Linked DNA regions of Oryzias latipes. The protein of the gene in region 1 interacts with the protein of each later gene in a biochemical or structural test. Links are inferred from orthologs where the notes say so. Each region holds a gene or a part of one and is shown on either strand. Other genes may lie near its edges. The genes, in order: parp1, aplf and chfr.

Evidence for each region.
Region 2: the proteins of parp1 (region 1) and aplf form a complex in vitro, tested with the Homo sapiens proteins (3 studies listed by BioGRID and IntAct, with this or other methods). The link is inferred for Oryzias latipes from reciprocal best matches to the Homo sapiens genes PARP1 and APLF.
Region 3: of the proteins of parp1 (region 1) and chfr, one has a biochemical effect on the other in vitro, tested with the Homo sapiens proteins (2 studies listed by BioGRID). The link is inferred for Oryzias latipes from reciprocal best matches to the Homo sapiens genes PARP1 and CHFR.

Annotation. Positions count from the first base shown.
Region 1 is NC_019882.2:7,701,443-7,711,697, forward strand, and holds the start of parp1 (poly [ADP-ribose] polymerase 1), read left to right. Parts: upstream 1-4,161; 5' UTR 4,162-4,271; coding exon 4,272-4,394; intron 4,395-5,887; coding exon 5,888-6,053; intron 6,054-6,215; coding exon 6,216-6,331; intron 6,332-6,401; coding exon 6,402-6,616; intron 6,617-8,797; coding exon 8,798-8,888; intron 8,889-8,962; coding exon 8,963-9,079; intron 9,080-9,159; coding exon 9,160-9,336; intron 9,337-10,030; coding exon 10,031-10,193; intron 10,194-10,255. Other genes in the region: adenylate cyclase type 8-like, read left to right, coding at 107-253, 423-515, 592-706, 788-990, 1,134-1,349. UniProt on the Homo sapiens protein: Poly-ADP-ribosyltransferase that mediates poly-ADP-ribosylation of proteins and plays a key role in DNA repair.
Region 2 is NC_019859.2:723,739-733,993, reverse strand, and holds the start of aplf (aprataxin and PNK-like factor), read left to right. Parts: upstream 1-5,166; 5' UTR 5,167-5,192; coding exon 5,193-5,285; intron 5,286-5,495; coding exon 5,496-5,567; intron 5,568-6,042; coding exon 6,043-6,191; intron 6,192-6,317; coding exon 6,318-6,423; intron 6,424-6,532; coding exon 6,533-6,641; intron 6,642-6,935; coding exon 6,936-7,060; intron 7,061-10,255. Other genes in the region: CB1 cannabinoid receptor-interacting protein 1, read right to left, coding at 2,838-3,016; fbxo48 (F-box only protein 48), read right to left, coding at 3,392-3,553, 3,838-4,140. UniProt on the Homo sapiens protein: Histone chaperone involved in single-strand and double-strand DNA break repair.
Region 3 is NC_019867.2:23,125,574-23,135,728, forward strand, and holds part of chfr (E3 ubiquitin-protein ligase CHFR), read left to right. Parts: intron 1-2,584; coding exon 2,585-2,644; intron 2,645-2,720; coding exon 2,721-2,918; intron 2,919-4,464; coding exon 4,465-4,548; intron 4,549-4,678; coding exon 4,679-4,847; intron 4,848-4,959; coding exon 4,960-5,114; intron 5,115-5,206; coding exon 5,207-5,369; intron 5,370-7,314; coding exon 7,315-7,514; intron 7,515-8,429; coding exon 8,430-8,546; intron 8,547-8,766; coding exon 8,767-8,850; intron 8,851-9,830; coding exon 9,831-9,901; intron 9,902-10,155. UniProt on the Homo sapiens protein: E3 ubiquitin-protein ligase that functions in the antephase checkpoint by actively delaying passage into mitosis in response to microtubule poisons.

The DNA.
Region 1 (10,255 bases):
GAACATCCACATGAACCGGGTTATTGCGCAGAAATGTTTGATTTTCCTCAGGTCTGTGTTATCTCATATGAGCAGGTGAAACTGCGTGTAACAATGGTCATTTCAGGAGCTTTACTCCCAGTCTTATGATGAAGTGGGTGTCATGTTTGCCTCGGTCGCCGGCTTCAATGAGTACTTTGAGCAGAAAGAGATTAAACATGAAGGAGTGGACTGCCTGCGACTGCTCAATGAGATCATTGCTGGCTTTGATGAGGTGAGCAAACTTCAATTGTTCTAACAACCGTTAGTAGTTCATCAGAGAAAAATACCAGCTGGTTCTGAGTTTGAACGCTACTAAAGTGAAAAGTTCATCCTTTTCTACCAACAGAAGTAGTTTGCCCAGTTATATTAGAAGCAGCTGTCTGAAATTGAATCTTTTCTAGTTGTTGGAGGAGTCGTATTTCCACTGCGTAGAGAAGATCAAAACCATTGGAAGTTGCTATATGGCAGCCTCTGGTTTAGCTCCAAATAAACAGGTGGGAGGTCAGTTTCAGAGTCATTTCAGTTGAATTTCTTTAGGGAAACTCACTCGTCTGGATTTATGTTTTCCAGGCATCCATGGATAAGTGGAATCACCTGAGCGAGCTGGTTTTGTTTGCGTTGGCGATGCAGGAGACCTTGAAGGAGACCAACCGGCTCTCTGCTCAGAGTTTTAAGCTGCGTGTCGGTGAGTCGATTTCATTATTGTAGTAAACAGTGAGGAGAATCTGAGACCAGTGACCAAGATTTCATGATGGACTCTTTTAAGGAATTGCTCATGGGCCAGTAGTTGCGGGGGTGATCGGAGCCACCAAACCGCAGTATGACATCTGGGGGATGACAGTGAACCTGGCGAGTCGTATGGACACCACAGGAGTGAGTGGACGAATCCAGGTGCCTGAAGCCACCCGAAAAGTCCTGTCAGAGTGGGGCTTTGCCCTGGAGCTACGAGGAGAAATATTTATCAAGGGGGTGAGTGGGGGCTGAGCCTAGTCCATATAGTCTGTGGTAACTTTGCAGATAACGTAAGGAAAGCTTTATTAAAAGGAAAATGTTTAATTTTTATTCATTTTAAATTGAAGGAGTAACCTAAAAAGATTTTTTGTTTAATGCAGGTAAGTGAGTGCCAGGGAAAAGTGCGTACATACTTCATCAGCACCACGCGCAGTAAGCAGGGCAATGCTGGGAAGTACAGCAGGCTTGGGGGGCGCCCATCAGGACGCCTGACACTAGCCGAGGTCGTATTTGGGCTGGTCCAAGCCCGACAAAAGGAGAAAATAAGAGAAACCAACAGTAACTTTGGTCTGATTTCCTGCAAACTGAAGTGTTGAGAGGCACGCAGAGGAGAGGACTCATCCAGGCAGGGCTGTTCCTGCATGTTTACAGGGTGGATCAAATCCTCCAAGGATCTTGCAGAGTTTATTCCAGGTTTTGTCCATCAACCCAACGAGTTAGGAGAAGAACATGTTGGAAAAGTCTATTTCTAAACTTACCAAGAGGAGATTGGAAATGGAACGTTTCCTAGAATGGGCCTTTCTCTTCCACTGACTTCTTGTGAAGTACAGCAAATATTAGGGGGATCTCTGCTTTTTCTAGCTTTCTTGTTGCCATTTTTACAGTAAAACAAAAGCCAACATGTCTTTTTTCATATCTTGTATTGCAAGGTATATCAAACATTTGAGCCAAAAACTAGAATACCTCTAAAAAACAGCTAAATCACACTCTATAGTTCAGGGTTCTGCAACCTTTAGCGCTCAAAGAGCCATTTGTTACAGTTTCTAACAGCCATAAACCCAGCAAGAGCTGCAAAGTCACACTCTACTGTTTAGAAAAATGTTCTAAATTTATATTTTTGCGGTCATTAAGTCATTTGTTTATTTATTCATAAAATGTAGCTTTGAAACATTTACAATTATTGAATTATAACAGTGTTATATTACCATTGCACAGACAAGTTCCTTTCAAAATAAAATGTATCCTGTGTCAAATAAGACCCTGCTGCAGCGATTATACTTTAATACATTTGTCTCTGAAAGACAACTAGGCTTAAGAAAAGAATGTGAGTTTGAACTTATTCTAAAAAGAAACCACTCTGACATAAATCAGATCTTTTACTATTTAATTGCTTGTATTTGACATGTTTGCATTATGGAGTGAACGTGTCAAGGGCTCTTGATTTAGTATAACGTAGTGGTTAAAACGTACATTTTTCTCATCTAAGTTCACCTCAGTTTAAAAATCTAAAAATAAATGACCAACAACCCTATTATTTCTTCAAAATGTTAGCATTTTTCTTCAAAGCAAAAGAACCACAATGAAGGGATAAAAGAGCAGCATGTGGCTCTGGAGCCACAGGTTGCAGACCCCTGTTCTATTTCATCACACATGAGTTGGTTTTTGTCTGTATCTTCCATACGAACTCTATAAATGCAACCGTGTTGGTGTTTTAGACATCATGTGCTGTTCATTTTACATGTATACCATGCTTTTATACATTTTTTACAGAAATGTTTAATTGTATGATTGCCGTCCATCAAATAAACACATTTTCTGTCTGTTTTTGATACTTAAAATAATTTAAAAAACGATTTAATACTTATTGCATTCTACTTTTATCACACTAGTCATACAATTTAAGTTTTATTGGTTAAACGTACCCATTACATGGAATGGAAACCTATAATTTTGAAAGTGAAGGATTTACTTTCTTTTCAGACTGCAAGGATCGACTTCTCTTCATTCGATTGTTTTAGACTGAAGCGAGCGCGGGTACTCTGTGAGGTATCCAAATATCGTCTATTGTGAAAAATGGATCGCTTGACATTTTTTTATGAAACATTTCAAGTTTGAATACTTTTTGTTGAACATATTTTAGAGGAGTGTTGTTTATGCGGTTGAGTGGCTCCTGAGGAATGACCAAGAGGACAAATAAATATACATAAATAATAATATTTCGTTTTTGTTTTTTTAAATAAATTTATAAATAAATATATTTCAGTTGATCAAATCTTAAGTTCTTTCTTTAATTCTTCCAATCGACAAAACTGAACAAAAAAATTACCATTGTTCTAAAAAACATCTAAGGATAATAATACGAAAACAATAGCCTAGCTCTTCTTATTAAGGTCAGACTTAAAAACATAAACATACAGAAGAAGTTGCATTATGAAGAAAAACTTGTAACAAAAAGTAGAAGTATACATGCACACAAAAAATGTAATATTTGATTTATTTCCACGATTGACAGTTTATTCCAACAGTTATAGGATAATAATTATGTTGTCCATCTGATTTTTTTCAATGAAAAAAGTGATTTACATACCAAGAGATCTTCACAAAATCATATTTCTTCTTGTACGTCTTACTTTTTTGTCTAATTTACTTTAAACTATTTACTTTCTGAAAATTAGATATATAGATATGGATGGATGGATGGATGGATGGATGGATGGATGGATGGATAGATAGATAGATAGATAGATAGATAGATAGATAGATAGATAGATAGATAGATAGATAGATAGATAGATAGATAGATAGATAGATAGATAGATAGATAGATAGATAGATAGATAGATAGATAGATAGATAGATAGATAGATAGATAGATAGATAGATAGATAGATAGATAGATAGATAGATAGATAGATAGATAGATAGATAGATAGATAGATAGATAGGTAGATAGATAGGTAGATAGATAAAAGAAAACGAAAGAAAAGGTAGAATGGTAGTAAGTAAATGAAAGCAGAAAGAAAAGAAGCTTCCTGCAGAAAAGCCAATTGTCATTTTCTTTTAATGATGTCCAAGGAATATCAGAAGCCGGCTGTTTTCTAAATTTCTAAATAAGAGCTTGTGAGTATGGATAACTTAAACAATAAATATGATTTTCATAACAACAACAAAAAACATAAACTTCCATTCTACAGGCTCTGCATGCAAAGATGTTTTGAAAGATATGCTGAAGGAATGGAAGTATGTAACCCCGTTTCTTAGGTTCGGTTAGCTGTGATTTCTGTAGCTATCTGGATAAATATGCCCGCATCTATCAGATATTTGTGGACATGCGCCCAGGTTCAGCGTCCATTGGCAACTAACGCTTGTATCGGAGGTTTGACAAAAAAGAGTCAGAGTAAGCCCTCTTTACTGGATCTTGCTCGCTGCTCTTCGCGTTGTCCCTGTTGTTGCTCCTCGTGCTCTGGTGGAGAAACTTTGTCGTCTTCGGTTCAGCTTTTTAAGGATAAAGGGAAGCTATGGCCGACTCCCAGAATGACAAGCTGTTCCGAGCAGAGTACGCCAAAAGCGGCCAGGCTTCGTGCAAGAAATGCAAGGAGAAAATCGCGAAGGACTCGCTGAGGATGGCCATCGTGGTGCAGGTAAGCAGCGGCGGTCCAAGGAAACACCCGGGAGCGGAATTATTCCTACAGACTCACTTGTTTACCAAGCAGCTTCAGCAGATGTAAAAAAAAAATAAAAGTGTGTTTTTGAAAATGTGATATATAGGCCTGAGTAGTTCCGGTTTCGTCTGGACTGGTTTGGGCCCTCGTTAGCATTTATGGCTGCTAAATCTTCCGCACAAAGAGCCGCAGAGATGCTCCAAATAAATGCACTTTCCGGCATTCAAGCAGAAATGTGAGGAAAAATCACTGCTGCCTCTCAGTCTGACTCAGTCTTGGTGATTCTATCGCTTGTCTTTCGGGGGAACGTGTACCGCTCACTACTTTCTTTACTTCATTCGCTTTTTCCTTTTATTTATTCATTTAGTATTTTGTCTACCACAGGCTTCCGTTTCAGCAGATGGATTTGAAATACTAAACTTTGCATAATTAATTATTATTCTACAAGCAATTAATGCAAGTAGAATTTATATTTTTGGAAAAATACGTTGACATTCAAGTAAATTAATATGCAGGTAAAAAAATTATTATCTATAATCCAGTAAATTGTATAAAACTAATTTCTAATGCAAATTTAAAAATTAGGATGAAAAATGTAAATATCAATCACAGGTATTTATAAAAAAAAAATAGATCATATCTAGACTGATTGCTTTTATTGTCAAAAATTTTATATCAAAAGCACAGAGTAAAAATTGGCACCAACTAAACTTTAAAAAAAAAAAAATATATATATATATATATATATATATATATATTTAAATCATTTGTATTCAGATTTATATTTGTAAATTTCCCATCCTTCAGACTGATCAATTGATGGTTATTGATATTATTAAATAAACAGTTAAAATGTTTAATTTAAGGCGAGCAATTTAAATCTAAACGTAAGGAATAAAATGTAAAAATAATAATTAAACACATATATAAACAAAACTTTTATTACAGTTTGTATTTGTTTGTGGAATTAGAAAGATGTTCAAGTTTTTATTTGAAGGTATTTTTTATGATTTAAATAAAAACAAAATTGCGCTTTTGTTTTGGCGAGTCACTACAGCTAAAATGTTAAAGATAATTTGAAAAGCCTCTTATTTTTCTTAAACTGTACAGAAAAATTGAGAAAAGTCATTTTTAAAAGGAGCAGGACATGGCGACAATAGTACAATTATTTTTTTCAAAGGGTTAGTTTTTTCCTCCCATTTCACCTTCAAAAAATATTACGGTATTGCTAAATTATTTTACATCCTTTACTCGTCTCATAAAAATGTTTTTTGTCTGTTCTTTGTTCAACTTTTCAACTATCTTGTTCAATTCACCACCAAACTACACTGGAGCTTTCAGATGATCTGATATGAGCAGCAAACCCATCATTTTTTTCCAGAATCATCCAAACCCGGCAGATACAGACAGACTGAAAACTATAACTCTGCAGCTGAATGTGTTCACGCCTATGTTTACTCTGTGTCCCGCAGTCCCCCATGTTCGACGGGAAGGTCCCTCACTGGCATCACTTCTCCTGCTTCTGGCAGCGAGCCTCGGTGCAGTCCACGGCCGATGTCGGCGGGTTTTCGGATCTCCGCTGGGCGGACCAGGAAGCTGTCAAAAAAGCCATAGAAAGTGGTGGAGTGGCCGGAACAGGTCTGTGCTTGTCTGAGCTGTTTGTGCACACGGGAAATGAATTGACGTTTATCAGCGTGGTGAATGTTAGTCATCGGAAAGTCGCTTTTGTTTACTTTTTGTAGGTTGTTGAAAATTCTGACTTAAAGCACAGCGGGGTAAATTGAGGTCTCCATCTTGCAGGAAAGGGAAACTCTGGTGGTGCGGCTAAAGGAGAAAAGACGCTGAACGACTTTGCGGTGGAGTACGCCAAATCAAACCGCAGCACGTGCAAAGGATGTCAGCAGAAAATAGAAAAGGTTTGCTGCAGCTTCGTTTAAACAGTTCATTAACGGAAAGCACGCCTGTGACCTCTGACCTCTCCTCCAGGATCAGATTCGTGTGTCTAAGAAAGTGGTGGATGCAGAGAAGCCTCAGCTGGGCCTGATCGACCGCTGGTACCACACTGCATGTTTTGTGAGCCGCAGAGAGGAGCTGGCTTTCAAACCTGATTACAGCGCTGCTCAGCTGAAGGGATTCAATGTGCTGCGGGCAGAAGACAAGGAGGAGCTGAAGAAGAGGCTTCCTGCTGTAAAAACTGAGGGGTGAGGAGTAACAAAAACTATATATATATATATATATATATATATATATATATATATATATATATATATATATATATATATATATATATATATATATATATATATAAAAGTTTGACTAAGAGCTTTGACTCAGCTCTCACAGACTTGGTTTGGTCTAGAAGTTCTCTCATCTCCTCTGTTGTTTCCACTTAAAATCTCTGCCTCTCCCATCGACCTGCAGCACAGAAAAATGGCCTTAAAGGCGTCCCTGAAAGCCGTCATGGTGTATGCATACAGGAAGGGGTTCACAGCAGAGTTGGCGTGGGACAGGATGATGGTGGTGAGCAGCAGCTCCAGCGGAACGGGGCACTTTGGGCAAAGCAGGAGGAAGCAGTTGATCACATGGAGCGGAATCCAGCAGATTGTGAAGAGAAAAAGAACGAGGAAGAGCGACGTGGCCATCTTCATCTCCTTGCGCATGGTGGCTGCCGTCCTGCCCTGTCGCTCCCATCCTTCACCTTTCTCAGTCGCGATGCGCCTCATCTGCTGCTTCACCGTGAGGAAGATCTGGGCGTAGATGAGGAACATGATGAGCAGAGGTGCGAGCACGCAAGCGAAGAAGTTGAAGTAGACCATGTAGGTCATGTCCACCACCAGGACGAAGAAGCAGTAGCTGGAATCTGGCGGTCTCTTGTGCCAGCCCATCAGGGGGACCAAGCCGATGAGGGAGGCCAGCAGCCACGTGCCGAGGATCACCATCAGGGCGTTCCGAGGCGTCATCAGGACGCCGTAACGCAGCGGCATGAAGATGGCGACATAACGCTCCACAGCCACTGCCAGCAGGCTGAAGATGGAGCTCTGGGTGAACATTATCAGCACGCTGAGCATTAGCAGACACAGGTAGAAGTTGTAGCGCGGTAGACCGACGTCGGTCAGGATGGCACAGGGAATGGCAATGGTTCCCACACAGATGTCTGCTACCGCCAGCGAGACCAAGAAGTAGTTGGTGACGGTGCGAAGCTTACGGTTGAGACCCACAGCAGCACAGACCAGGAGGTTCCCCAAGGTGGAGCACAAGGCGATCACGAGCTCGGCCACCATGTATGGCACATTTGGGTGCATCACCGGGTCAGCTGGTGGCGCAGAAGGGGAGGAGGTGGTGGCGGAGAGCCGGTTGGTGAAGTTGCGGGGATACTGAAAAAAGAACTGAAGCCAGGAGTTGCTGGTTTGTTGGAAAACAATAAGTGGCACAGTTTCATTCTCCATAGCTCTCCTGCAAAAGAGCAAATTTCAGATGTAAAATTCATGTTAACATCCAAACGTCTCACCAATCTGCTCCACAGACCTATCAAGGATTCATCATCAACCCCCCCCACCCAGAAAACCAGACACCCCTCTGTCCTTTACTTCATGTCAGCCGTTGTCTTGATGCTTTGTCCTCCAGATGGTCATTTATGGTATGGAGGTGTCACAGGAGCTGCTCTGGCCCCCGGCCCCTGGGAGCGTTCAGACGTGTACCAGCTTGCTTGTTTGTGTCCGTTTGCTGCAGAGACCCTCACGAGTCTACTCCATGAAGAAAGGTGTCACACGCAGGCTTGTTTGTTCCTCATCATGGCCGTCACCTTCATCCCTGTGCGCCTTATTTGGGTTCCTAATGGGATGTTTTCTCATCATCTTGTTTGGCTTGGTCGAAAAACGAATGGACTGGTTTAGGGCAGCAACCTGGGAGGTAACTTCTTATTTAGGCAAAACACCTGACTCATTCACACAGACGAGACTCTTAACTTCCTGATGAAGCTGAAGTAGGTTCACGTCCCACAGAATCTACTGGTCAGGTTCTACCAGACCCCAGCTGGTACCCTTTTTTCGTCAAAAATGATTCTGCAACAGAAAAACTGGATCTTCTCTTCTTATCAACCTTGGTTCTATTACTTCAGGAGTTTAAAGATTCCACTCAATGATTCAACCCCCTGAAGAAGTGGAAAGCCAAAAAAAAAAACAGGATGAAGTTGGGTTCTGGCTCCAAACTGGGAGCCAGAACCCAGAACAGTTTTCCACCGTTCTGTAAATGGAGGTCCAGGACACTGTCAGACTACAAAATAGTTTCACCTGCAGGGGAGAAATGCCTCACTCTTTATGCTTTCTATTTCTTTTTTCTTAGTATTTTTTGTTCTGTAACTATGATAATAATTACATTTGCAGAAAACGTCCAGGCGACGAGTTGGACGGAGTTTCAAAGAAGCTGAAGCAAGAAGAGGAGGAAGAGAATAAACAGTTGGTGGAGAATTTAAAGGTGCTTTTTTTATGTTCAAGATTAATTTTGTTTGTTTTCTTGTTAATAGATTGATTGTGTTGTTGTGGTTGCAGAATCAAAGTCAGCTAATTTGGGGGATTAAGGACAAACTCAGGAAATACTGTTCAACCAACGACATGAAGGAGCTGCTGATTGCAAACGGTCAGGAAGTTCCTTCTGGGGAGTCCAACGTAAGAAAAAGTCACAAATGAAGAATCCTATGCTGCTTAAGCCAAAGTCTCTGGTGACTCACTGCCGGTTTTGAACTCAGGTGGTCGACAGAGTGGCTGACGGTATGGCCTTCGGGGCTCTGGAGGCCTGTAACGAGTGCCAAGGTCAACTGGTGTTTAAAGGGGATGCGTATTACTGCACAGGAGACATCTCAGCCTGGACTAAGTGCGTGTTCAAAACTGCAACACCCCTGCGCAAAGACTGGATCATCCCGAAGGTGTGTCCCTCACGTGAGCCTGCATGGATCTCTAGGGCCGTGGATCGTTACTCAGGTGGCGATCCGATTCACGATTCAAGAGAAACGATTCAGAGATTGAACCACAATTCTTACTATTTAGTTATTAAAATTAAATAATATTAATTATTTAATTTCATACGATTTATGATACAATAAGATATATGATAAAAAAACTATCATACATCTTTATACTGCATGTATGAAAAATAAAATAATGTGTATTTAAACATCATCTTTTATACCTTTTTATTTGAACAGATCAGAATCAACAATAAAAAATTCAAATTGTCAACTATATTATCCTTTTTTTTCAGAACGTAATTTAGTAAACTGAACTTTGGTCTCATTTTTTTTATCTACAAAACACTCTATACCTTTACTTTAAAAAATAGAATTTTAATCGCCGTTTTACTTCCTGTAACATAGGTTTACGCTGTTTAGTTTATATACTTATAATCCAACATTGCTCTGCATTTTAGAGCGCTAATTACACTGCCTAAATTATATTTTTGTATTTATAAAGATCACGAGTCAGCGATCTTGGATGTCGTAAATATTCGTTCTCGAATTTTCAAGAACAGATCGAGAATATCCAGGTATTCGGATACTCGTTAAAGCCCAGTACCTCAAAAACCTTTGAAAAAGCTTGGAAAACTTCTGCTTGCTGTTTCAGGAATTCCATGAAGTTCCATTTTTGAAAAAGTTCAAGTTCAAGCGTCAAGACCGAGTTTATCCCAAAGAAGCTCCGACCCAAACATTGACAACAGCTAAAGCTGAACCTCTGGCGAGTGGATCTGGAGCCCTGAAGGAGCAGCTGCCAGAAGGAGCACCTGCAGGTGGGATTGAGCCCACAGTTTTGAACCAACTGAACACTGAGTAGGAGAAAAACATGCAAAGA
Region 2 (10,255 bases), on another chromosome or scaffold:
TGTGGAGAAGATCTATGTGGAGTAGATCTGTGTGGAGTAAATCTATGTGGAGAAGATCTATGTGGAGTAGATCTATGTGGAGATCTATGTGGAGTAGATCTATGTATAGTAGATCTATGTAGACGAGATCTATGTGGAGAAGATCTATGTGGAGTAGATCTATGTGGAGAAGATCTATGTGGAGAAGATCTATGTGGAGTAGATCTGTGTGGAGTAAATCTATGTGGAGAAGATCTATGTGGAGTATATCTACGTGGAGAAGATCTATGTGGAGCAGATCTGTGTGGAGTAAATCTATGTGGAGAAGATCTATGTGGAGTATATCTACGTGGAGAAGATCTATGTGGAGTAGATCTGTGTGGAGTAAATCTATGTGGAGAAGATCTATGTGGAGTAGATCTATGTGGAGATATATGTGGAGTAGATCTATGTGGAGAAGATCTATGTGGAGTAGCTCTGTGTGGAGTAAATCTATGTGGAGAAGATCTATGTGGAGTAAATCTATGTGGAGAAGATCTATGTGGAGTATATCTATGTGGAGATCTATGTGGAGTAGATCTATGTGAAGTAGATCTATGTGGAGTAGATCTATGTGGAGATCTATGTGGAGTAGATCTATGTGGAGAAGATCTATGTGGAGTAGATCTGTGTGGAGTAAATCTATGTGGAGAAGATCTGTGTGGAGTAAATCTCTGTGGAGTAGATCTATGTATAGTAGATCTATGTAGAGTAGATCTATGTGGAGAAGATCTATGTGGAGTAGATCTATGTGGAGATCTATGTGGAGTAGATCTATGTGGAGAAGATCTATGTGGAGTAGATCTGTGTGGAGTAAATCTATGTGGAGTAGATCTATGTGGAGTAGATCTATGTGGAGTAGATCTATGTGGAGAAGATCTATGTGGAGTAGATCTGTGTGGAGTAAATCTATGTGGAGAAGATCTATGTGGAGTAAATCTATGTGGAGAAGATCTATGTGGAGTATATCTACGTGGAGAAGATCTATGTGGAGCAGATCTGTGTGGAGTAAATCTATGTGGAGAAGATCTATGTGGAGTATATCTACGTGGTGATTAGATTGCGTTACTTGAACAAAAATGAATCATGTTGGTCCTATTTAATGTATTTAGGTTCAAATTAATAAATTTAAGTTGATTCAATTTAAATAGAGCAGTTGCACCCAACTTCAAATTAATATTGTTACTCACTCTAAAAAGAAAATAGTTGATCCAATTTAATTGAATCACTTCAATTGGTCACACCTAAGTAAATTAAGTTTATTTAACTTGAATTTCTATTTATTTCTATAATTTTATTTATTCATCTGTAATTGATATGTTGTTCCAAAGTTACAACCAATGGGTCTTTTAATTTTCACATCAAAGACATGATTTACCCAGCAAAGTCCATCACAAGACAGGAGTTCAATTACCGCGAACTCTGTGTTAAGTATTGGAACATTAACAGTTTGCCACACAAGGGGTTTGGTCTTCATCCTATACCAAACTTTAACTCATGGTGCAAACGAAATAAACACATATCAGTTTAAATCACTAGTTAAAACAGAGTAAAACAGCTAGACAATAAAACCCATGGAGAAAAACTCACACTTAGACCCCAATCTGCCCAGATAGACAAAGAAAATGGTATCCCACAATTCCTTGCGATTACTAATGGATCCAATTTAATGGAATCATGTTGGATCAACATGATTGAAATTATTAACTTTTAAATGGATTATTTTTATGTAAAATCGACATGATTCATTCACGAAAGATTTACAAACATATAATTTTCTGGTTGAAATGACAAGTTACTTTTTCGTTAACTTAATTGGCTGGTAATTTCCTTTTTTTGAGTGTATGTGGAGAAGATCTACGTGGAGAAGATCTATGTGGAGAAGATCTGTGTGGAGAGGATCTGTGTGGAGTATATCTATGTGGAGTAGATCTATGTGAAGAAGATCTGTGTGGAGTAGATCTGTGTGGAGTAGATCTATGTGGAGTAGATCTATGTGGGGTAGATCTTTGAGGAGTAGATCTATGTGGAGTAGATCTGTGTGGAGTAGATCTGTGTGGAGTAGATCTATGTGGAGTAGATCTGTGTGGAGTAGATCTATGTGGAGTAGATCTATGTGGAGTAGATCTATGTGAAGATCTGTGTGGAGTAGATCTGTGTGGAGTAGATCTATGTGGAGTAGATCTATGTGAAGATCTGTGTGGAGTAGATCTGTGTGGAGTAGATCTGTGTGGAGTAGATCTATGTGGAGTAGATCTATGTGGAGTAGATCTGTGTGGAGTAGATCTATGTGGAGTAGATCTATGTGGAGTAGATCTATGTGAAGATCTGTGTGGAGTAGATCTGTGTGGAGTAGATCTGTGTGGAGTAGATCTATGTGGAGTAGATCTGTGTGGAGTAGATCTATGTGGAGTAGATCTATGTGGAGTAGATCTATGTGAAGATCTGTGTGGAGTAGATCTGTGTGGAGTAGATCTATGTGGAGTAGATCTATGTGGAGTAGATCTTCTGGGTTCTTCCACTAAAACTCGACCATGAAGCTGAACATCCACCTGACAGCATCCAAATGAAGCTAAACGAATATTTCAATAAAAATATTTTTTATCCTGAATGTTTTTTCCGTCGTTTATAACCCCCACCCCGCGCGCGCGCGTGCTTCCATCCGATCCCGCATCATTTATTCATTCGGCGGGTGTCGGATGCTGCGGCCTGCACGAGGAGGCCGCCGCGTGCGCCGACGCCGCAGTCTTTGTCCGGTGTCCCCCACGCGCGCCCATCTCCCGTGTTACACAGGCACGCGCCCGGGTTCGCGCCCTTACGTGGCCTCCACGGTCCCGGGCTTCAGCACCACCTCAATCTTGTACTTGGAGCCCGTCAGCAGCTTGATGGTTCGGGTCTGGCCGAACCGGGTTCCGTCCACCTTGAAGAAGACCGGACCCTCGTTGGGCTGGATCCGCAGCGCCACGGAGATGCAGATGAGGGGGGGCACGTCGTCCATCGTCCCGGGATGCTGCTCTGCCGGACGCACGAGCTGGAGATGCGCGGATGCTGAGGGGGGGTGGGGGTGGGGGGTGGGGGTTGCAGACGGCGTCAGCGCGCTTCCGCTCGACGCCTTCACAATAAAAGCCGGTTTTTGTAATAACTAATAACTTGCTGAAAACGAGCCTTCATCCGTTCTGACCCGAACTAAACCTTCAGTCCGGTTCGACCCCCCCACCCCCACCCCCACAGGGCCTACACCTACACAACTGTTCCAGAGAAAACTTTTATTTTGTAATAAAATTGGTGTTTTCTGTCATACTCAGGTCTGGATCATTTACAGTCTCATTCCAAGTTCTTGTGGGGGTGGAGGGTTGGGGTTGGGGTGGGGGGGTCATCTGTCCAGCTCAGCCTGAAGGATCTCCCCCCACGTCTCTGCGTCCAGCGGCGTCATCCTCCTGCCACGCAGCTCCGCCACAGAGCGCACGTGACTGTAGCGCCCCGTCAGCCAGTCGGCCTTCAGGCGGCTGCGGGCGTAGTTCCTGACCACGGTGACCTGCAGGGGGGCGGAGCCACACGTGAACCGGGAGAACGCACTGACCACTACACCACCGTGCCACCCTCCACCCTTATCCAGAAGCAAAGAGGGAGACGGACAGCTCAATGGCATGAGGAGGTGCGATGAGGAGGAGGTCAATGACCTTCATCATCAAGGAGGTCAGGGACCTTCACTTACATGAGGGTCATGTGATGAGGGAGGGGCCTCAGAGGGAGGCATCAGAACTCCCCCGCCCCCCCTATAACCTGGCCATATTGGGGGAGGGGGGAGACCAGGCTCACCTTCCAGGAATGGCCGTGGCTCCTGTCGCGGTCCACCTCCCTCTGGCAGACGGCGCGCACCACCAGGCCCTGCCCCCTCCACAGCTGCTCGCTCTGCTGGATGACGGCGTGCCACAGCCGGCAGGTCTGCGAGGCGCGGCACAGGCTGTCAGCGTCCAGCTGGCTGAAGATCCGCACGCTCATCTCCAGAGGAAGCGCCTCCACAAAGTTCAGAGGGGGGCGTTCGGGGGGGGCTGCCATCAGGGTGGGGCTTCCTTCCATCGGGTGTGGGGGCGGAGTCTCTGCAGGTTCATCCTGCATCATAAGGGGGGAGGGGGAGGGGGCGACTGAAAGATGAAAGACATTTATGGGGGTGTCAATCAGATTTTAGCACGTGGATCGTGTAGTCTCAGACCCACCTGGTCTGCTCCTCAGGGGTCCACAGCAGTCCGGGATCCGGATCGGCCTTCAGAACCTTTTCATGTGGCCTCACTTCCGGTCACGTTTCAAAAACGTCACAGGTGCTGAAGACAGAAGTCCTACCTGCTCTCTGTTTGGCACCTGAGCCTCGGACGTGGGGGCGGGAGGCGCACGTGACCGAAGCCTCAGAACCGGATCAGGGCTCAAGCGGGACCCCCCACCGGGACCCCACCCCCACCTCCGTCTAAACGAGTGTTTTGGGGGAGAGCAGCTAGCAGACAAACGCCGCCGGTTCCGGTCTGAACTCCGAGCAGAAACGGAATCGGGTTCTTTCCCGAGACGCTGAACCACAGGGACGCAGTAATCAAGCGCGGACAGGACACGGGGTTTGATCCCGACAGCTGACTGTTTAAATGTCCCAACGGTTGTTTGTACACAGACGTGACGTCATCGTGAATTTAAACCACGCGCATGCGTAGAAAGGCCTCACTGTCAAAAAACCAAACTCCGTTGTTTTTAAACTTTTGTAATCTAATGTGAAATTTAAAGAGAAAATATTCTTACTTAAAATCCAAACAATTTATCTTTTTTTGAACGTTTTTTTCTGCGCAGGTCAGTTTACTGATCAACACTTTAACTTCAGGCTGACATGAACATGTTAAGTTTTTGTTTATTTCAATTTTTAATTACTCAAATTGGATCTTTCGTAAAAATCGATGGAAATTTTAACTTTTTTGCTGACACCTTAAAGACACCACTGCGCATGCTCCACTGGAAACCGGAAGTCTGGATTCAAAAGTAGCGGAAGTTGTTCCCGAATTCACCTGCGGCTCTCAGACCCGGATTTCATAGTCCAGATCCGCAGAGACCCGGGTCAATTGGACCCAACGCATTTTCCGAACCGCGTGTGTTGATAAACTCTTCCCGCCAGCCGGACCCCCCCGCCTCCGGAGCTCATGTCCGGCTTCCTCCTGGTCCCGGTGGATGGCGGGAATCCGGTCCCCGTTCCGCCAGGGGAGACGCTGCTGGGCCGGGGTCCCCTGCTCACAGTGAGTCCCGCAGAGTGTCGGGTCAGACAGAGGCGGGGCACGGTCACGTGACTCCGCTGCCACAGCTGGCAGGTGATCACCTGACCTCTGACGCAGAACTGGAGCTGGTACCCCCCTCAGGACAAGTTCCTGAGGGGACGTGGTGTGAGGGACGCTGATCCTCAGCTCCATCGCCTCACAAGTGACTGAGTGTTTCTGTCTCCACCCCAGATCAGCGACAAGAGGGTGTCGAGACGCCACGGGCTGCTGCAGAACCTGGACGGAGAGCTGCGCCTCAAACCGGTACCGACCCCCCCCAGACACACACTCTCCTAGAGTTCTGAACACGGCGAGGTTCAGGAGGACGCCGCCGTCACGTTTTCGGTTCTGCTAGAGTTTGCATGTAGAAAATCCAGACGGTTCTGGTTCCACAGCGACCCGATCGGGTCTTTCAGTTCAGGGTTTGATGATGTCACATCCGGCCAAGATGGAGGAAACCACTGACGTTACATGAACAACGCAACCCGTCACACGGTTTGACCAAAACAGAACCGGATCTGTTTGAGTCCGGTTCAGCTTTACTGAAACGGTTCTGAAGAAGATCCAGGTGGAACTTCAGGCAATCAGAACCATGTGGATCCATCCAGGATGACCTCTGACCTTCTCTGTTCTGTCTCTGCACCTCCTCAGAGGAGGAGCCGTGCCGTCTGCAGATGGTCCTCCTGGTGTCTTCGGGCCTCCCCAGATCCCAAACTGATGCGCTCATGTCCCTCCCCAGACCCACGCCAACCCGTGCTTCATCCAGGCCTCCCTGTCCTCGGAGCCCCGCCCCCTGCCCCAAGGATCCTGGTACACGCTGCGCGATGGCGAGCTGCTCTCTCTGCTGCCGGGGCGGCTGGTCTTCAGGGTGGAGGCCGTGGGCTCCAGGTATTCCAGGAGGGTGTGGGCGGCGCCGCTTTTGTTTGAAGCTGGGATCAAACAGACGGAGGAAGACCCTCCAGCTGATGAAGAGCTGCTCCTGCAGGAGCTGCCTCACGTCTCTGTGTCCTGCAGGAGCATCCGGAGCGCTGAGGAGGAGGAGCAGCTTCCCGCCTCAGGAGAAGGTCAGGAGGGTCCAGCAGGAGAGGAGGGGGCGGAGTCAGACGGGAGATCCCGACAGGTGGGTGCCCCGCCCACACCGTTATGTCAGGCCCTGCGCTGAAGCATCAGGAAGGAAACGGTCCTCGAACCCTCGTTGTCCTTTGAAGTCCGGCCTTTGATCTTCACAGACCAACATGGAGGATCAGAGGCACGCCGCTCTGTCTGAGGTCAGGGTTCGAACCCTTCCTGCCTGGATGATGGCGGCCGCCGTGCAGACCCCAGCCCTCATGCTCAAAGGTAACTGTGGCAAACGGTGCAAAGATTCATGGGTAAAAAAGCCAAATTCAACCAGAGAACCCGAAGGAATCTCTGTATGCCAGGGGAACGCTCAGAACACGAGAGAACACCTGGACTCACCTGAGCGGAACAGCAACGTCCTGCAGAGACCATCTTTGGCTCTTCCTCAGAAATTGCTCTGATCGCTTAGAAAGAGCCGGATCCAGTTCTGATCTGACTGACCGGTTCTGTCTGGTTGTGGTTCTGCTCTGTAGAAGCATGTTGTTGGTCTGATGGGGTTTTGTGTGTGTTTAGTTCAGTCAACTCTTCAGAGGAGGAAACGACCTGCTGGCGGTGTTCAGGCCACGCCCACATCGAAAGAGGAAGAGGAGCAGAGAAAGAGGAAGATGAATGCTGAGGAGGAGAAGGCACCTGAAACGGTTGAGTAAAGCGGTGATGAAGATGCTGAAGCTAAAACCTGCTGAGCTTCTCTGTCTGGAGGTTCCTCCTGGACGGTTCTGAGGAACCCGCCATGCAGACGGTTCTAAGGAACGGTTCTGAGGAACCCGCCATGCAGACGATTCTGAGGTTCTAAGGAACAGTTCTGAGGAACCCGCCATACAGACGGTTCTGTCGGTCTAAGGAACGGTTCTGAGGAACCCTCCATGCAGACGGTTCTGAGGTTCTAAGGAACGGTTCTGAGGAACCCGCCATGCAGACGATTCTGAGGTTCTAAGGAACAGTTCTGAGGAACCCGCCATACAGACGGTTCTGTCGGTCTAAGGAACGGTTCTGAGGAACCCGCCATGCAGACGGTTCTGAGGTTCTAAGGAACGGTTCTGAGGAACCCGCCATGCAGACGATTCTGAGGTTCTAAGGAACGGTTCTGAGGAACCCGCCATGCAGACGGTTCTAAGGAACGGTTCTGAGGAACCCGCCATGCAGACGATTCTGAGGTTCTAAGGAACAGTTCTGAGGAACCCGCCATACAGACGGTTCTGTCGGTCTAAAGAACGGTTCTGAGGAACCCGCCATGCAGACGGTTCTGAGGTTCTAAGGAACGGTTCTGAGGAACCCGCCATGCAGACGATTCTGAGGTTCTAAGGAACAGTTCTGAGGAACCCGCCATACAGACGGTTCTGTCGGTCTAAGGAACGGTTCTGAGGAACCCGCCATACAGACGGTTCTGAGGTTCTAAGGAACGGTTCTGAGGAACCCGCCATGCAGACGGTTCTGAGGTTCTAAGGAACGGTTCTGAGGAACCTTCCATGCAGACGGTTCTGAGGTTCTAAGGAACGGTTCTGCGGAACCCTCCATGCAGACGATTCTGAGGTTCTAAGGAACGGTTCTGAGGAACCCGCCATGCAGACGGTTCTGAGGTTCTAAGGAACAGTTCTGAGGAACCCGCCATGCAGACGGTTCTGAGGTTCTAAGGAACGGTTCTGAGGAACCTTCCATGCAGACGGTTCTGTCGGTCTAAGGAACGGTTCTGAGGAACCCTCCATGCAGACGATTCTGAGGTTCTAAGGAACGGTTCTGAGGAACCCGCCATGCAGACGATTCTGAGGTTCTAAGGAACGGTTCTGAGGAACCCGCCATGCAGACGGTTCTGAGGTTCTAAGGAACGGTTCTGAGGAACCCGCCATGCAGACGGTTCTGAGGTTCTAAGGAACGGTTCTGAGTAACCTTCCATGCAGACGGTTCTGAGGTTCTAAGGAACGGTTCTGAGGAACCCTCCATGCAGACGATTCTGAGGTTCTAAGGAACGGTTCTGAGGAACCCGCCATGCAGACGATTGTGAGGTTCTAAGGAACGGTTCTGAGGAACCCTCCATGCAGACGGTTCTGAGGTTCTAAGGAACGGTTCTGAGGAACCCGCCATGCAGACGGTTCTGAGGTTCTAAGGAACGGTTCTGAGGAACCCGCCATACAGACGGTTCTGTCGGTCTAAGGAACGGTTCTGAGGAACCCGCCATGCAGACGGTTCTGTCGGTCTAAGGAACGGTTCTGAGGAACCCGCCATGCAGACGATTCTGAGGTTCTAAGGAACGGTTCTGAGGAACCCGCCATGCAGACGATTCTGAGGTTCTAAGGAACAGTTCTGAGGAACCCGCCATACAGACGGTTCTGTCGGTCTAAGGAACGGTTCTGAGGAACCCGCCATGCAGACGGTTCTGAGGTTCTAAGGAACGGTTCTGAGGAACCCGCCATGCAGACGATTCTGAGGTTCTAAGGAACAGTTCTGAGGAACCCGCCATACAGACGGTTCTGAGGTTCTAAGGAACGGTTCTGAGGAACCCGCCATGCAGACGGTTCTGAGGTTCTAAGGAACGGTTCTGAGGAACCCGCCATGCAAACGGTTCTGAGGTTCTAAGGAACGGTTCTGAGGAACCCGCCATGCAAACGGTTCTGAGGTTCTAAGGAACGGTTCTGAGGAACCCGCCATGCAAACGGTTCTGAGGTTCTAAGGAACGGTTCTGAGGAACCTTCCATGCAGACGGTTCTGAGGTTCTAAGGAACGGTTCTGAGGAACCCTCCATGCAGACGATTCTGAGGTTCTAAGGAACGGTTCTGAGGAACCCGCCATGCAGACGGTTCTGAGGTTCTAAGGAACAGTTCTGAGGAACCCGCCATGCAGACGGTTCTGAGGTTCTAAGGAACGGTTCTGAGGAACCCGCCATGCAGACGGTTCTGAGGTTCTAAGGAACGGTTCTGAGGAACCCGCCATGCAGACGGTTCTGTCGGTCTAAGGAACGGTTCTGAGGAACCCTCCATGCAGACGATTCTGAGGTTCTAAGGAACGGTTCTGAGGAACCCGCCATGCAGACGATTCTGAGGTTCTAAGGAACGGTTCTGAGGAACCCGCCATGCAGACGGTTCTGAGGTTCTAAGGAACGGTTCTGAGGAACCCGCCATGCAGACGGTTCTGAGGTTCTAAGGAACGGTTCTGAGGAACCTTCCATGCAGACGGTTCTGAGGTTCTAAGGAACGGTTCTGAGGAACCCTCCATGCAGACGATTCTGAGGTTCTAAGGAACGGTTCTGAGGAACCCGCCATGCAGACGGTTCTGAGGTTCTAAGGAACAGGTCGGAGGAACCCGCCATACAGACGATTGTGAGGTTCTAAGGAACAGTTCTGAGGAACCCGCCATACAGACGGTTCTGTCGGTCTAAGGAACGGTTCTGAGGAACCCGCCATGCAGACGGTTCTGAGGTTCTAAGGAACGGTTCTGAGGAACCCGCCATGCAGACGGTTCTGAGGTTCTAAGGAACGGTTCTGACGAACCCTCCATGCAGACGATTCTGAGGTTCTAAGGAACGGTTCTGAGGAACCCGCCATGCAGACGGTTCTGAGGTTCTAAGGAACAGTTCTGAGGAACCCGCCATGCAGACGGTTCTGAGGTTCTAAGGAACGGTTCTGAGGAACCTTCCATGCAGACGGTTCTGTCGGTCTAAGGAACGGTTCTGAGGAACCCGCCATACAGACGGTTCTGTCGGTCTAAGGAACGGTTCTGAGGAACCCGCCATGCAGACGGTTCTGTCGGTCTAAGGAACGGTTCTGAGGAACCCGCCATGCAGACGATTCTGAGGTTCTAAGGAACGGTTCTGAGGAACCCGCCATGCAGACGATTCTGAG
Region 3 (10,155 bases), on another chromosome or scaffold:
AATATGAAGTATCACATTGTCATAACTATCAGAACTGTAAAAAGAATATGTTGCTTTTCTGCAGAAAGAACCAGCCTCATAAATTTATGACTTTATCCTTTTTCCTCAGTGGGGCCCTAGTACTCTGTCATATAAAATAATACACATTCCATATGAATATAAAAACACAATGTGTAACATTATGTTCCTTTATTGAATAAGGATAAAACAAAGCAGGTAAACTACACTCAAAAAACGTTCACTTTGAATGAACATAAAAAAATTATGGAAATGATTTCCACATGGTTAGATAGCGTTACTTGAACAAAAATGACTCATATTGGTCCTACTTAATGTACTTAGGTTCAAACTAATAAGTGTAAGTTGATTCAATTTAAATACTGCAGTTGGACCCAACTTTAAATTAATATAGTTGCTCACTCTCAAAAAATAAAAGTTGATCCAACTTAGTTGAATCACTTTAATTGGTCACACCTCATTAAATTAATTTTATTTAACTTAAATTTCTGACTACCCAACACAAGTTATGTTGATATATCTTGATTTTTTGCTTTAATGTTATTTATACATCTGACATTGATAATGTTTTCGAAAGATACAGCCAATAACTTTCACATCAAAGACATGAATTACACAGCAGAGTCCCACATCAAAAGACAAGAGTTCCAATACCGCGATTTCTTCCTTAAGCACAGTAACTTTAATACTGCACCGCACAAGGGGGTTGGTCATCATCCTCTCCCACACTCTAACTCATGGTGCAGAAAAAAAAGAACCATAACAGTTTAAATCACTAGTTAAAACAGAGTAAAACAGCTAGACAATAAAACCCATGGACAAAAACTCACACTTAGACCCCAATCTGCCCAGATAGACAAAGAAAATGGAATCCCACAATTCCTTGCGATTACTAATGTATCCAATTTAACGGTATCATGTTGGATCAACATGATTGAAATTAGTAACTTTTAAATGGATTATTTTTATGTACGATCGACATGATTCATTCACGTAAGATTTACAAACATAACATTTTCTGGTTGAAATGACAAGTTACATTTTCATAAAATTAATTGGCTGGTAATTTAATTTAAAAAATTATTGAGTGTGCTTTATCACTGTGGTGGTGTTGCCTTTCTTCTTAATTATATCTTTTACCTCCTCGTATGCCTCCATGAGGATTTGTGCTTCCGACGGGGAAAGGTACGCGGCTTTAGTTGCCATGGTGAATCAGTTTATCTGTGATCTGTGGAGGGGTCTGTTTGAGTGAGCCGTGAGCGCGCACCTATCCAGGATTGGTTACACCTGGCTTGATGAATCCGTGTCTGCTCATCCTGGCTTGGTCTTTGTGCAACCGATTAAGCCTGGACGGACATGTTTTGGATTCATTGAGCTCAGCTCAGTCATTTATCCCGGATGTCTTAATTCTACTTTTGTGCAACAGGCCCCATTAGAGTATATAATAATTGTTATTAAACAAACCTCCTAAGGTTTGTTTAAGGGCCGACCAGCTCTCTCATGGTCGGCCCCTTTGATGCAGGCCAAAACCTGACTCCGCCAACTCCTTGCGGACGTCGCAGCGTTGTTGTGACATGGTGGCCATCCACCAACCAGTCAGTACTCATTCCATCTGGACCATCCAGGGTTGAAAGGCACTCAACGGGGAACAGGACTGTTTGAAAATGAGTCATGTGTGTCTGGGCCCACTGCAGCTTCTGCTTGTGTTTAGGTCCTTTAACAGCATCCTCCTCTCTATGAATGAATGAAAGCCGACCAGGCCCTGATGCAGCAAAGAACAACTATATCAGGATGCTTCCTTCGCCATACTTTACGACACATGTAATAATGTGCAGTTTTTTTGTTTTTTTTTTAAGTCCACCAAAAAGTTCTCAAAGCTTTTTAGTTGTTAGTGGTTTGTTTCATGTGGTCTGTCCAACCACACTCTGACTTCTTAGTTTTTTACGTCCTGTAGACTCTAGAACACAGATGCTCGCCAGTTCTGGGGTTGCTGTTTATCCATGAGTCTTTATTGTCCTTTTATGAGCAGTTGTACTGGGTACCTGCTGCTTGGTTTCTTAGCCACAGTCACAATGCATTTCCTTTTCCAACATGTTTGAAGTAACTTTTTAACTTTCTCCAGCTCATTGGGAATTCATATTTTGGAACTGTGGATGATCTGGATTTTCTCCGTGGTAAACCAAAGTTCACAGTTTTATCTTAGTGTGTTACTTTTGAGTTTTAGTGTTCCATCAGTTAAAAGTTGACCTCACCATCACTTCACATTTTGTTCTCCCAACTACATTCCAGATATGTTCAGATCTGACACCAGTTTTCTTCTTTGAGGTCATTAACTTTGGGGTTCACCTCGTCCTTCCAATAGATTTATTATTTTAATGGTGGTTCTCAATTAAGATTAAGTTTCTTATTTTCTATGGTTTTGCACAAAATGTTCATATATTCTTATGACTTGTCCTAGATAATAATCTAATTACATTTTATGATGAAGAAAGGCAAAAAACTATGACATGGTATATGAATGTGTGAAAAGTTGTACAAAAACTCTTTTATTTTATTTTAAATATAGATATTGCTTATGTTTACCACACTATCAAGATGGAGCAGGGCGAGTCACTACACAGCTATGGTAAGATCTCACTGACTCTTCACAAAAAGGTTTTCCAACATTTTTATTTACACTCCATACTGTTTTCAAACTTCAGGCATGGAGAGTTCAGCCCAGAGTTACTCAGCTGTTCCAGAGTCGGAGATGATTCTCTCTGTGGAGCCACTCATCCTCACAAAGACTCCCAGAGACTTGGCCCAAGATGAGCCAAAGCCTTCAACTTCTGCTTCCCATTTCTGCATTGAGAATCCCTCTTCTTCTGGCACCACAGTGATCACAACGTCTTCATCCTCTGGTAACCAATGCGCTTTTTAAGACTGATGTTCCACCAGGCAGGAAAAAAAACTCTCTTTCCATAACACAAAAGATATTTTTTAATCACATCAACATGTTATGGCTGTAACAAGTTTTGCTTATGTGACCATAGACTTTACTTTAATTTCAAAAGTAAACTCCTAAACTGCCTCCCATTGAGTTAGCTGAGTCATGAGCGTTAGGCCTTCCAGCTGGCCTTGGTGTCAGACTTCATCTGATTGGCCTTTGCAGTTTTCTGTCTCTGCTGCTTGCAGCACACCGTCAACTCTGAAGGTTTCATAGAACAACACAAGCTAGCTGGAATCTGAGTGGATTAAGAAAATGTACAGCTATGTCAGCAAAAACCAAGTGGTCATCATATAAGGACTATGAAGACTACTGTATGTATAAAGTCATGTTAACTGCATATTTAAAATAAACAAAACAATCATATTTTCTTAAATCATTAAATTTAGGTCAGCACAGAGGGATTTGCAGCCTCTAATGGCCCAATGCTCATATGTAGGTAATGAAAATGCTGGAGTGCTTTGACTGTATCTTTGTTAAAACAATCCACTTGAGGGACTGACAGACGAGCGCATGTGGAAGCATCCTGCCATCTAATGTGTAAAATGACCTGCTATGGATTCAGTTTTTTGGTTTCCTATGTTGGTTTCTGTAGGTCAAGCAGCAGACCACAAAAGGCAGAGAAATTCTCTCAAATGTCAGGTTTAGTTTGGGCTAACTAACAGAAGCGATCAACTTCGTCCCATCATGTTACGCTTCCTGTTCACTTTAAGAACTGTGCAATGTTTTTAGTGTAAAGAACTATATGTAAACTTTACAAAAGTACATTTTTATGATTGCATTAAATATGTAAATGTCTAAAGGCATTATATTAGATTAGTTTAGTGCAGGGTAACTTTTTGTTTGGTTTTGTTTAGCAAAATTAGCACACACAAGTCTTGATAAGAATCTGCTTAAAGGGTTAGGTTTGTGTTCAGAAACAACTTGTAGTGTTTATTTTGGCCACCACTTACTTCTGCACTGCAAAAACAGGCCCGCTAGAAATGTGTCAACAATGCTTAACATTTGAAACCTTTTCTAAAAAAAAATATTAAAATAACTCTGCCAATGGGGTAAAAATGGTCTTACAGAGAATTCCTTTTTTTTAAAATAAAACTCTAGTCATTTACAAAATGTTTTCTTAAACTAAGATTATTTTGCCATTGAAACACTTCTGTGACAAGATTATTGTTCGTGCATGACAAAAAAAGACAATTCTTGTTAAAACAATTGTCTTTTTATTTTCTTGAGATTCAGTTTTTGCGGCGCGAGGGAGTTTTTTTTTTCTGTTTTGAATCTTTTTTTGGCTGTTCAATCCGACCCCATTTTTTCTTCCCAAACCTAATAAAGCATGGTTTTGTCTTAAGTGAATAAATAGTCTGTGTGGAAGTTCAAATCTGTATATTTGCTACAAATGTTTCTATCTTATTAGGATTATCACATTTTTGATCTGTCTTTGTTGGTTTTTTCAATCCTACTAGGCCCACCTAAACATGCAGCTCCTGCACAAAAACATGATACAGACCATCTGGAACCTAAACTTAAGAGGAGGAAAATGTCTGATGGTTAGTCTTTAGTCTTTTAACTACCTGATTATGGTTTTGCCTTATTTTAATGTCATTAAAACCATTATTTTCTATGCGTAGTTTGGTATCTGCCCAAATCTATTGTTATATGTGGCTGCTGTTTTTTAAGTTTTAGATAAAGAGTGTGCATCAGATTTGCCATTCACTGCCTGTCCTGAAGTGGCTGGATCAGCTGACAAAGACTCATCAAAATCAGCAGTTAAAGAAACCAAGACGGATAAGATGGAAGAATCCTTGACTTGTGTTATATGCCAGGACCTGCTGCATGACTGTATCAGGTAAGATCTGAGGTACCTGTGGTTCAAGCATGGATCTGCGAGGGAACCGATCTTTTTGTCTGCAGGCCCACCTCAGTGCTGCATGTGTGTTTCAATAGTCTGTCTGCTTCAGCTTGCAGCCTTGCATGCACGTCTTTTGCGCCGCCTGTTACTCAGGCTGGATGGAGCGCTCATCTCTCTGCCCGACGTGCCGCTGTCCTGTAGAGAGGATTTGTAAAAACCACTTCCTCAATAACCTGGTGGAGGCATACCTCACACAGCATCCAGGTTTGCACATTTAAAGACCAGCCTAGTTGCATTTTATTACATTTTTGTTCATTTATTTCAGATGAAAAGTGTGGCTTTTCCTTTTTTGGCAGAAAAGTGTCGCAGTGAGGAGGACCTGAAGAGCATGGACAGCAGAAACAAGATAACTCAAGACATGTTGCAGCCAAAAGTGGAGCGTCTGTTTTCTGATGAAGAGGGCAGCTCCGACTACCTCTTTGAATCATCTGATAATGACAGCGACTCCTCAGACACTAGGTAAGAGAACTGCCTGTGCTTGCATCTCAGCTAACCTTATTTGCCCTTCTCTATCTTTCTCAAGCATTTTAAGATGATCAGAGACCAGACACAGTTTATGAATCCCTATAGGAAAACTCGAATTTGAATGTTTTTCTATGGGTTCTAAAAACCATGTGATTTTAAAAGACCCACTCCGATGGAAATTGTGTTCTTAACATATTCTTGTGCCATTTTTCTAATGATGGAGGGACATGTATGAAGAAAATTAGGTTCAAAATTGTATTTAAATTGTTGTCTATCAGAAACAGATGAAAAGATTCTGGGGCAAAAAAGTATTTAGTCAGCCACCATTTTTGCAAATTCTCTCATTTAGAAAGATGGGAAAGGCGTGCAATTTTCATCACAGGTATACCTCAACTATGATTGACAAAATAAGAAAAAAGCAAGATTTTTGGCTCTCACAGACATTTAACTTCTTCTGTAAGAGGATCCTATGCTCTCCACTTGTTACCTGCATTAATGGCACCTGTATGAACTGGTTATCTATAGAAAAGACACCTGTCCCCAACTTCAAACTGTCCAAACTCCACAATGGCCAAAACTAAAGACCTGTGTAAGGACACCAGAAGCAACATTGTTGACCTGCACCAGGTTGGGGAAGACTGAATCTGCAATAGATAAACCGATTGGTGTGACGAAATCAACTGTGGAAGCGATTATTAGGAAATGGAGGACATGCAAGACCATTGATAATCTCCCTCTATCTGGGGCTTTCCGCAAGATCTCACCCCGTGGGGTCAAAATGATCACAAGAACGGTGAGCAAAAATGCCAGAACCACACGAAGGGGCCTAATGAATAACCTGCAGAGAGCCGGGACCAAAGTAACAAGGGCTACCATCAGTAACACACTATGCCACCAGGGACTCAAATCCTGGAGTGCTAGACGTGTCCCCCTGCTAAAACCAGTACATGTGAAGGCCCGACTAAAGTTTACTAGAGAGCATTTGGAAGATCCAGAAGAGGATTGGGAAAATGTCCTATGGTCAGATTTAACCAAAATACAACTGTTTTGTAGGAAGTTTTCTCGTTGTGTTTGAAGGAGATAGAAAGCTGAGTTACATCCAAAAAACATCATGAAAACACACATCTGTGTTGCTTAGCGACAGCCCCAAATCATGACTGCTCTAGAGGAGATCTGCATGGAGGAATGGGCCAAAATACCAGCAACAGTTTATAAAAACCTTTCAACTTTTGTTATTGACCAAAAACTTATTTTCCACCATAATTTACGAATAAATTCTTTCAAAAATGCGACTATGTGATTTTTGTTTTTCCCCAAAATTTTCTTTTCTCATTTTGGGTCCCATTGTTGAGGTATACCCATGATGAAAATGACAGGCTTCTCTCGTCTTTTTAAGTATAGGAGAACCCACACAGTTGGTGGCTGACTAAATACTTTTTTGCCCCACTGTAGTTTATTAGTTTTCAGCTTTGCAGAAAAAGAAAAGCAAGAGCTGGATTACATTAAATGCTGCTCACTGATTTGAGTAGGATTTAGGAAAGGCTGAATTGTTGCATAATGTAGAGCTGCTTCCTTTACAAACGTCTAGACAGAGATTTAACAGGTTTTGAGCTGCTTTCATTTTCTGTTTCACCTACAATGTGTGAAATATTAATCTTTCTTTTTTAATAAAACTGGTAGAAGAACTGTTAATATCATAATAATGGTGGTTATTCTTTTTAACAATATTATAAGTAACCTAACTATTTGAAGTAGTAAAAGATGACATTTGTAACTCATGACTAAGACGAATGCAGCTGTTGTTTGTCAATAATTTATACAAAAATGTATTTTCTGTTCTAAATCACCAAAATTTAGCTTTTTTTTCCCTTTTAAGGTTTATGGTCCATGTTTTTGAAAATAAAACAAAATGTGACCTAATGTGGATCTCTGTCCCCAGTCAGCCTTTAGTGATGTGCAGACAGTGTCCCGGCTACAGGAGCTACATGAGCCAAGTGCTGCTCACCACAAGTTCAAACTGCTGGTTTGCTGGTCTGCCATCACTACCAGCTGTACTCTCATCAGCCAAGCCAGCAGGTGAAGAGGAAGCAGCAAAGCTGACAGGAGAACAGCCCTCAACATCCTCTGAAGCCACATCAGGTGTTTGCCCATTAATGCTTCACTCATCTTATTGTGTTTCAATAAATGAGCAAAATAAAAAACGTCTAAAGTTCAAGAAGAACAACGACCATCACTTATTTTATAGAATTTCAAAGTTTCAATATACAGTTGTGCTTTTCAGAAGGCTGGAATTTAGTCTAGTGATAGCTGATAGAAAATTAATGGGGGAAAAAAAGTAACTGTGTACATGCAACTTTTTATAGTTGCTGTTATTTTTACAGCTTTCAACATTTGTACAAGTTGTGTAAATCTGTGCCAACAGATGCTTTTCATTTGGCCTTTTGTTAAGAAAATAAAAGGGCAAAACTTGACTTTTTTGTTTTTGTTTTAATTACCGTAACTCTTCAACCGTTTATGCAACTAACTAAACGTCAGTGGATTCCGAAGGGGAGAAAAGCGGCTTTCCACCTTCATGCAAGCCAAAGAGAAAAGCCACTTTTCTCCTGGTCAGAATCAGCTGATTCATGCTGATCTCAGAAACGCTCAAAAAGTTACAGTATATTAAAGAGCGTGTGTTATTTAGGTTTCGCTGGTAACATGTCCAGCGTTAAAGGATTAATTCTGTCTTCAAGTACAGTTTTCAAATTTGATCTTTTCCAGATATGGATGCAGATTGTATGAATGTACAGATGTCCCTCTAGTAAATTGGATGTCGGTAGTTTTGATTAGTGAAACTGACAAAACAAACTTTTAGCTCCCCATCACTTATGAACTGACAAATGTGAAATTTAAAACACCACCATTGATTCAAACTCACTGAAAATGTAGTGATTTTGTTTTATAAGCCGGATTTTCTGACATGCTTTGAATTGGTTGTAAATTGGTGCTTTTTAATTTTTTTTTATCAAACTGGATTTGATTCATTTTGCTCTTTTGCTTTCCTCCTCCAAACAGCTTCCCAGGTGTACTGCTGCCCCCCTCAGGGTCGCCATGTCCTCTGCACCTGCTGCCTCCAGCCGATGCCGGACAGACGGGCAGAGCTCAGCAGTCTGCCGGGCTTTGCTCAACAGTGTGAGTGGGCTGATTAACTGGAAGCTCTTTTGCACAAATTTAACATCTGTGTCCATAAAATGTGTGTATGCAAATATTCACACAAACTTGAATGTAACTAGACACGGACAACTGAATCTGTGTACGGATATTTGAATGCTCTCGTGTTAATCATCAGCATTATCAATAAAGCCTGCCAGGTTTTTCCATCATACACCCTAAGGTTAGGATGTTTGTGCAGGTATGCTGTGCCAGCAGCCTTTCTGTCACATGTACTGGGGTTGCCAGAGGATTGGATGTCAAGGCTGTCTGTCTCGATTCAGTGGTATGCACCAGTTTCTGCAAAAACACCAATAGAATGACCCAAAAAATAACTTGGGCAGAAGGTATAAACATTTTCTACATATCTTAAGATGATTACTAGGGCTGGGTATCGCCAAAAATTTCCTGAATTGATTAGGTTCACCAGACCCTGGATGAATTCAAACATTCTCTTTCGATCCACTCAATTGAATTTGATTCGATTCAATTTTGAATTTATATGTTTTGAAGAAATGTATATTAATCAGATACCGTTCACATACTGTAAAATTTATGAGTGAAATAATTCCCAGTGAGACTATTAAGACCATCCAGTGTTACATGATTTCTCTAAAGGAGAAGCTCCAACAGAATTGTGCAGATCATGTTCTGCCTCTCCAGGAGGCCGTTTCAGTTTAGCCACTTGCGCTAAAAGCATTACACTTTTATTCCATTATTTGAGAAAAAAACTGTGCTTTAAATCACAAATGCTTACTTTAAAAAATAGAGTTTGGAAAATTCGTGTCTGTAAGTATATGAAGTTATTCATTTAGTCAACAATGCATGTTTATATTCAACGAGCGTTAGCATTAGCAGTCCTATGGAAAATTCCTTTCCATGTTAGCATCAAGCTAGCAGACTTTGACTTTTTGACTGTTATGCGTTAGGTCACCAGAAAAGGAAAGATCAATCTCTACCTCAATGATCGATTATTGATTTATTAAACTTTGATTGATTCAGATAGATAAATCGATTTTATCAACCCAGCTCTAATAATTTTTCTAATATAACAATATTATAAGCACACCATTATGCTAATAATCATGTTAGCAAAGACAGATTTCTTTTTTGTACTGATAATAAAAGACCACATAAACATATTGTCGTTTTGCTTTAAAAAAAGCAGCTTAGCAACATTTTTGTAAAGATTATTTTGAAGTTTAAAGGTCTGAAAGAGTTTCTGTCTAAATCTTTGACATTTTTTTGGGATAATGTTTTTGTTAGAGCTCAATCTCAATGACAAATGTCTGGACAGCGTGCTGAACAACAACACCTATGAGTCAGAGGTTCTCAAGGTAAGACGCGCTTTTGTCTTTCTTATCTTTTTTGAATCATCAGTGATTGACTAATTATTTTACTTTGCTTTTTAAAAACAATTATCTTTTTCCTCACTAAATACACAGATTTTTTTCTGTTTGTGCTAGCTGCTAGCCAGAATACTTATTCTGCAATTGTTCAGAAATGTTTACAGTGAACTCAAAAACTGCAAAGGCTCATGGGACTTTTAAAACGTCTTTTTTTAGTTGTTAAAGACCCACTCTGATCATCT